Sus scrofa: one gene and its partner. The protein of the gene in region 2 interacts with the protein of the main gene of each other region in a pairwise test. Links are inferred from orthologs where the notes say so. Each region holds a gene or a part of one and is shown on either strand. Other genes may lie near its edges.

What was found.
Region 1: the proteins of EPM2AIP1 (region 2) and SERPINF1 interact in binary tests that used the Homo sapiens proteins (3 or more experiments, as listed by UniProt). The two-hybrid records come from large-scale screens. The link is inferred for Sus scrofa from reciprocal best matches to the Homo sapiens genes EPM2AIP1 and SERPINF1.

Annotation. Positions count from the first base shown.
Region 1 is NC_010454.4:47,955,478-47,959,124, forward strand, and holds part of SERPINF1 (pigment epithelium-derived factor precursor), read left to right. Parts: coding exon 1-78; intron 79-1,207; coding exon 1,208-1,350; intron 1,351-2,932; coding exon 2,933-3,143; intron 3,144-3,611; coding exon 3,612-3,647. UniProt on the Homo sapiens protein: Neurotrophic protein; induces extensive neuronal differentiation in retinoblastoma cells. Potent inhibitor of angiogenesis.
Region 2 is NC_010455.5:21,876,404-21,880,150, forward strand, and holds the start of EPM2AIP1 (EPM2A-interacting protein 1), read left to right. Parts: upstream 1-1,459; 5' UTR 1,460-1,742; coding exon 1,743-3,569; 3' UTR 3,570-3,747.

The DNA of each region.
Region 1 (3,647 bases), on a different chromosome or scaffold from region 2:
AAGGGAAAGTCGCCAGGTCCACGCGGGAACTGCCCGGCGAAATCAGCATCCTCCTTCTTGGTGTGGCTTACTTCAAGGGTGAGGGCTTCACTTCGCTTTTGGCCCAGCGTGGCCGGTGGGTGTCTGATGGGGCCAGGCAAGAGGGCCAGTCAAGGAAGGCAGGGGAGGACCCAGGAGGGGCTCCTGCCTGAGTGAGGGCTGCCTGCTTGTCCTCGAACCCAAGCAAACACTGGGTGAGCGCCTGCAAAGGGAGAGACTGTGGCCCAAGACTGGCAGTGGGGAGGGCACTCCCGCTCTAGTGTCTGTGCGGGCTGGCTACTGGTAGGGAGGAGTCTGGCTGGAGTCAGACAAGGGTCCAGGCCCGGCTCTGCCTGCACTGGCTGGAGAGTCCTGCGCAAGTGTCACAGCCTTCCTGGGCCTGTTTTCTCGTCTCTAATGCGGGGACAACACGCTGGCTTCAGGGGCATCTTTCCGTGTTTCTCCTGTCTTCACATGGACCCTGACGCTGTGTCTAGGACAGGGCAGGCATGCGAGAAACCGCTCTTCGTTCTCGAGCAGCATACTCCTCGGCTAGTCTCTGGGCCCCCTGCGAGGCCGGCCCTATTCAGACAGGCCTGGTGTGGGATTCTGGGCAACCTCCCCTTAAAATGGTTTATAACCATCAGGCAGTGCTGAGAATGGACCCCTAAACTCCTAGAGAAAAGCTCCCCCTGAACCACTGATCTCCAGGAAGTGAAAGAAGCTGTTACCAACCAGAGTCAAAGGCCACATTAAATTGTCAGCTGGCCATGTGAGCGCTGGCAAGTCACTTTTCCTCTCTGGGCTTCCGTGCTTTTCCAGCGGTGAGAGCCTGATGACGCGACATGGAGGGCCCTTCCAGCTCTGGCCTCCCTGCGGTCTGTCTCCGGACACGTCCGTGCAGAAGCAGACGCCAGTTTTCCCTTCTCCCAGGCTAGCCCAGGCCCTGGATAAACTCGGCAGTCAAATCAATAACATCAAGCTGTTTCCTTCTGAGTTTCCTTCTGCTTCCAACCCTAGAAATAGTGTGGTCCTGACTGCACACTGAGCTACCCCTATTCCCCGGGGTGTGAGGGCCTCTATGGTTCTTTCAGCCAGGGAATTGTCAACAGCATGCTTTGGCCTCAGGGCGGTTCCAATGGCTTTCTGGTCTCCCGGGGCTCAGGGCACTCCACTTGTTTCATTCCAGGGCAGTGGGTAACCAAGTTTGACTCCAGGAAGACGTCGCTGGAGGATTTCCACTTGGATGAGGAGAGAACCGTGAAGGTGCCCATGATGTCAGACCCTAAGGCCGTTTTACGCTACGGCTTGGATTCTGATCTCAACTGCAAGGTCTGTGGGGGCAGCGTGAGTGGTGGGTGGGGGGACAGGCAGGACAGTGCAGTGGAAATGGAATGACCTGTGAGATCGGACAGGCTTCTACATTTTGCCCGCTGTGTGACTTTCATCGAGTTAATAGCATCTCTGAGCCTTTCTTCTCCTTTTTGGCCACCCTGTGGCATATGAAGTTCCCGGGCCAGGGGTCAGATCCGAGCTGTAGTGGCGACCTAGGCCTCAGCTATGGCGATGCTGGATCCTTAGCCCAATGTGCCAGGCTAGGGAATGAACCTGTCCTAGCTCTCCCAAGACACCACTGAGCCTGTTGTGCCACAGTGGGAATGCCTCTGAGCCTTTCTTCTTAAAATGAAAGGGTATAGCTATTGAAACTTACATTCTCACTCAGGGTTTGTTGTAAGGGTTAATAAGGTAATGTGAAATGAGCCCCCAAGATTGAGCACTCAAATACCGCTGTTTTCTTGTCTTTTCTTTCCTTCTTTTTCTTTTTTTTGGGGGGGCAGGCGAGTGGATCTTGTATATTTAGAATTCAACACCAAAACAGTCACAGACGCCGTACTGTGGGCATTCTAAGTCTTTTACATAAACCTGACTTTTGAAAATTCTAAGTCAGTCATTATTTTTATTTATTTATTTATTTATTTACTTGTTTTTTGTCTTTTTAGGGCTGCACCCAGGGCATATGGAGGTTCCCAGGCTAGGGGTCTAATCGGAGCTGTAGCTGCCAGCCTACACCACAGCCACAGACACGCCAGATCTGAGCCGCATCTGCGACCTACACCACAGCTCACGGCAATGCTGGATCCTTAACCCACTGTGCGAGGCCAGGGATCGAACCCACAACCTCATGGTTCCTAGTCGGATTTGTTTCCGCTGTGCCACGACTGGAACTCCTATTACTTTTTTAAAAATGAGAGTTGCAACATTTATTTCAGATTCTTCCTTTTTTTTTTTTTTTAATTTTTTGCCACACCTGAGGCATGGGATCAAACCTGTGCCACATAGCAGCAACTGGAGCCACAGAGGTGCAAACACAGGCACCTTAACCCTCCAGGCCATCAGAGAACTCCCTAAGTCAGTCGTTCTTAGCCTGAAGCACTGGAGAGAAACGCCATGTTTCTGTAAATGATTCAGGGGCTGCTGGGACTCCGAAGCCATTTGTCCCATGGATTGAAGAACCTCTGCTCAAAGGACCATTGTATTGCTGCTTCTATGTTGCAGTGCCTAATGCCCCCATTTCTAGTCCAGGGCTCTGTACTTAAGAGATAATCAGTAACTGCTGGCAGACAAACTTTGGGAGAAAACAGACCTGGATTCAATTCTAGCTCTAGAACCACAGGAGAAAATTCTTTCCGCAGATACCCTCAGTTGGTATCAGGCTGATTTTGAAGAAACCTTAGTAGACATCTTGCTGCGGGAAAGCAATAGCTTAGAGGGACAAGTGTTGTTCGGATGAGGGGCTGGGAGGCGTGGCGGGGCCTGGTCACAGGAGAGGAGAAGGCGGCTCAGGGTGTGTGTCTATCCCTAGGCTCCTGGGCTCCAACGTACTAACCCATGTGCTTCCTTCCTGTGGCTGCAGATCGCCCAGCTGCCCTTGACCGGAAGCATGAGTATCATCTTCTTCCTGCCTCTGAAAGTGACCCAGAACCTGACCATGATAGAAGAGAGCCTCACCTCTGAGTTCATTCACGACATAGACCGAGAACTGAAGACGGTTCAAGCGGTCCTGACCGTCCCCAAGCTGAAACTGAGTTACGAAGGCGAACTCACGAAGTCTGTGCAGGAACTGAGTAAGTCTGCAAGTTCTCTTTGCTCTTGGGGTGGCTGGGGTGGTGGCTTTGGACCTTCGACCTTGCTGAGCAGAAGTCGAGGGCTCCATGGCCCTGTAGGAAGGCCAGGGATTCCTTAATTCTAACAGTGCTGGCGGGCAAGACTGAACTGCCTCCCTTATCACACTCATTCCTCAGCCCTGAGCACACTCCCTGTAACAGGAACTCAGAGCAGCAGCGCCTCTCAAGATAGGTCTCTTGACCTGATTTCTAATCTTAACCCCACCTGCCATGTGCTCTTGGGCAAGTCTCTTAACCCTTAACCAGCCCAGAGCTACATACCTCCCAGAAGGACAAAAGAAGTGTTCCCCTCCCAGCTTGCGTGCCTTCTTGAGAATCAGGATTTAAGGATCAGGACAGTATTCTTCCTTGGAGTGCTGACGAGGCCAGGTTTCTCTAACGGAAGGAAATCTCTCTCAATCTCTGCAGAGCTGCAATCCTTGTTTGATTCACCAGACTTTAGCA
Region 2 (3,747 bases):
CCTGTTTCACAAACTTTACTCAGCCTCAGGTTCTTAAAAGACCCTCATAAAATGTCCCATTGTGGCGCAGTGGAAATAAATCCAACTAGGAACCATGAGGTTGCAGGTTCGATCCCTGCCCTTGCTCAGTGGGTTAACGATCCCGGTATTGCCGTGAGCTATGTTGTAAGTCGAAGACGCCCCTCGGATCCTGCGTTGCTGTGGCTCTGGCACGTAGGCCGGCAGCTACAGCTCCCATTAGACCCCTAGCCTGGGAATCTCCATATGCCCTGGGAGCGGCCCAAGAAATGGCAAAAATAAAATAAAATAAATAAAATAAAATAAATAAAATAAAAAAATAAAATTAAATAAAATAAAATAAATAAATAAAATAAAGTAAAATAAAATAAAATAAAATAAAAAATAAAATAAAATAAATAAAGTAAAAAAAATAAAATAAAATAAATAAAATTAAAAAATAAAATAAAATAAAATAAAATTCAGGAGTTCCCATCGTGGCTCAGGGGTTGACGAAACCGACTAGGAGCCATGAGGTTGCGGGTTCCATCCCTGGCCTTGCTCAGTGGGTTAAGGATCTGGTGTTGTTGTGAGCAGACGCGTCTGCTACCTACCTGTGGTGTAGGTAGCAGACGCGGCTCAGATCCCGCGTTGCTGTGGCTCTGGCGTAGGCCGGCAGCTACAGCTCCGATTGGACCCCAAGCCTGGGAACCTCCATATGCCGCGGGAGCGGCCCGAGAAGAAAAAAAAAATTAAAAAGGAATTGTACTTCTGAATGTATACAGAATAAGCAAGAAACTGACGCCCTCTGAAGGATGAAGAGAGGGGTGTTTTTTCTTCTTAAATGTAAAAAGCTTTTTAAACGTTTAAAAAGTTGCATCTTCTGCACATATAATTTTAGAATTTCTCTTAGTTGATGGCACCATTAAAACAATACTGTATCGCCCTCTCTTTGTGCCCCCATCAACCCTAAAGTCTCGAAGGGACGCTCGAGGACCCGGGAGAGAGGAAGGCAGGACCCCGGCCTCCCCGCGGCGGCGGCGCGCGGCACACCCCTCCACTCAGGGCAGAGAGGCGTGTCCGCGCCATCCTGAGCAGTGGCCCGTTAGGTTCTAAGGAAGCCTGGACTCCTCCCTTCGTACCAGTTCTCAATCATCTCCTTAATGGCATTAGCCGGCCGCTGGATAACCTCCCCTGCCGCGATGCGGTTCACCACTGTCTCGTCCAACCGCCGGATAACTCCCGGTACCTGCGACATTTTGGCGCCAGAGCAGGCCGTGTAACGGTGAGACGCTCACTGGAAGGGCTTTCAGCCAATCTCCTTAGAGCTTCGCACCCACATCCTTCCAGCAACACTGCTGACGCCGTCCCGTCCCGCCCTCTAGCGGCAACACCACTTCCGGGACAGAGAGGTACTGATTGGGCATCTTGAATGCCAGTCAAGTTCTTAGCTCCATGATTCCTGTTCTCTTAGCCCTCCTTAGGCGGCTTTAGTGCACTTTGCAGCGAGAAGGATATGCGCCTGCGCGCTAAAAATCAGTGTCCGCTCTTCCTATTGGCTCATGCTTGCGGCAGGGGAATACGAAATCTCCAGCCAATAGGAATCAAGGTGCCGGAACCCCAGTGGTTTCCCCAGCTGGGGTGATCTGGCGCAGAGCGGAGTTGGCGCTTGGGGATCGCTCCTGCTCCTCCCCTCTCCTTGCGGCCTCCGGGAGGTCGGCCCAGATCCAGTGGTCTCCCGTGAGATGTGGATGACGCCCAAGAGGAGCAAAATGGAAATCGAGGAGCCTCGGGGTTTCCAGGCCGAGTGGACTCAGCGTTACCTGGTTGTGGAGCCTCCGGAAGGCGAAGGCGCCCTGTGCCTGGTCTGTCGCCGCCTGGTCGTAGCCAATGGCGAACCCGATGTCAGGCACCACTACGAGGCGGAGCACGATTACTACGAGCGGTATGTGGCGGAGGGCGAGCGCGCGGCCCTGGTGGAGCGTCTGCGTCAGGGCGACTTGCCCGATGCCGCCCCGCTCACCCCGGAGGAGAGAGCTGCTCGTGCAGGCCTCGGGCTCACCCGCCTCTTGGCCTTGAAGGGTCGCGGCTGGGGTGAGGGGGACTTCGTGTACCGGTGCATGGAGGTGATGCTCAGAGATGTGCTGCCTGATCACGTAGGCGTTATGGATGGCATTGATTTATCTCCGGAGATCACGCAGCAGAGGGTCCTAGACATTAACCAGAATCTACGCAGTCAGCTTTTTAACCGAGCCAAGGACTTTAAGGCCTATTCCCTTGCGTTGGACGACCAGGCTTTTGTGGCCTATGAGAACTACCTCCTCGTCTTTGTCCGCGGCGTGGGCCACGATTTAGAGGTGCAGGAAGAGCTTCTGACCATCATCAACCTGACTCAGCACTTCAGTGTTGGTGCCCTCATGGCGGCAATCCTTGAGGCCCTGCAAACTGCAGGGCTTAGCCTGCAGCGGATGGTTGGACTGACCACGACCCACACTCTGAGGATGATTGGTGAGAACTCAGGGCTGGTGTCATACATGAGAGAAAAGGCTGTAAGCCCCAACTGTTGGAATGTTATCCATTATTCGGGGTTTCTTCACTTGGAACTGTTGAGCTCCTACGATGTGGATGTTAATCAGATCATAAATGCCATATCTGAATGGATAGTTTTGATTAAGACCAGAGGCGTTAGGCGGCCAGAATTTCAGGCTTTACTAACTGAATCGGAATCAGAGCATGGTGAAAGGGTTAATGGACGCTGTCTGAACAATTGGCTTAGAAGAGGGAAGACCTTAAAACTAATATTTTCTTTAAGAAAAGAGATAAAAACATTTTTGGTTTCAATAGGGGCAACAACGGTCCATTTCACAGACAAGCAGTGGCTTTGTGACTTTGGCTTTTTGGTGGATATTATGGACCACCTTCGAGAACTCAGCGAACTATTGAGAGTAAGTAAAGTCTTTGCTGCTGCTGCCTTTGACCATATTTGTACCTTTGAAGTTAAGCTGAATTTACTTCAGAGACATATCGAGGAAAAAAATCTAACACACTTTGCCGCCTTGAGAGAAGTTGTTGATGAGCTTAAAGAGCATCTTCAAGAAGATGAAAAAATACTTGATCCTGAAAGGTATCAAGTAGTGATCTGTCGCCTACAAAAAGAATTTGAGAGACATTTCAAGGACCTCAAGTTCATTAAAAAGGACTTAGAGCTTTTTGCAAATCCATTTAGCTTTAAAGCTGAATATGCACCTATTTCAGTAAGGGTGGAGCTAACAAAACTTCAGGCAAATACTAATCTTTGGAACGAATACAGAACCAAAGACTTGGGGCAATTCTATGCCGGACTGTCTGCTGAATCTTACCCAATTATCAAAGGGGTTGCCTGTAAGGTAGCATCCTTGTTTGATAGTAGCAAGATTTGTGAAAAGGCTTTTTCATATTTGACTCGAAACCAGCACACCTTGAGCCACCCATTGACAGACGAACACCTCCACGCCCTGTTTCGGATTGCCACCACTGAAATAGAGCCTCAATGGGATGATCTTGTGAGAGGAAGAAATGAATCGAATCCATAAGCTTTTGTAGTACAACACCGAAACACTCAACAAGAATCCAACTCTAAAAGCAAAAATATGTTTGATTTTCAACTTTACTAATTTGGATTGTGGGAGAGTACCATGTTTTTTCACCCAAAGTGAAAAAACTTTCATCGCAGACATTTTTCACAATTCAAATGCTTCAGACAATTTTTTT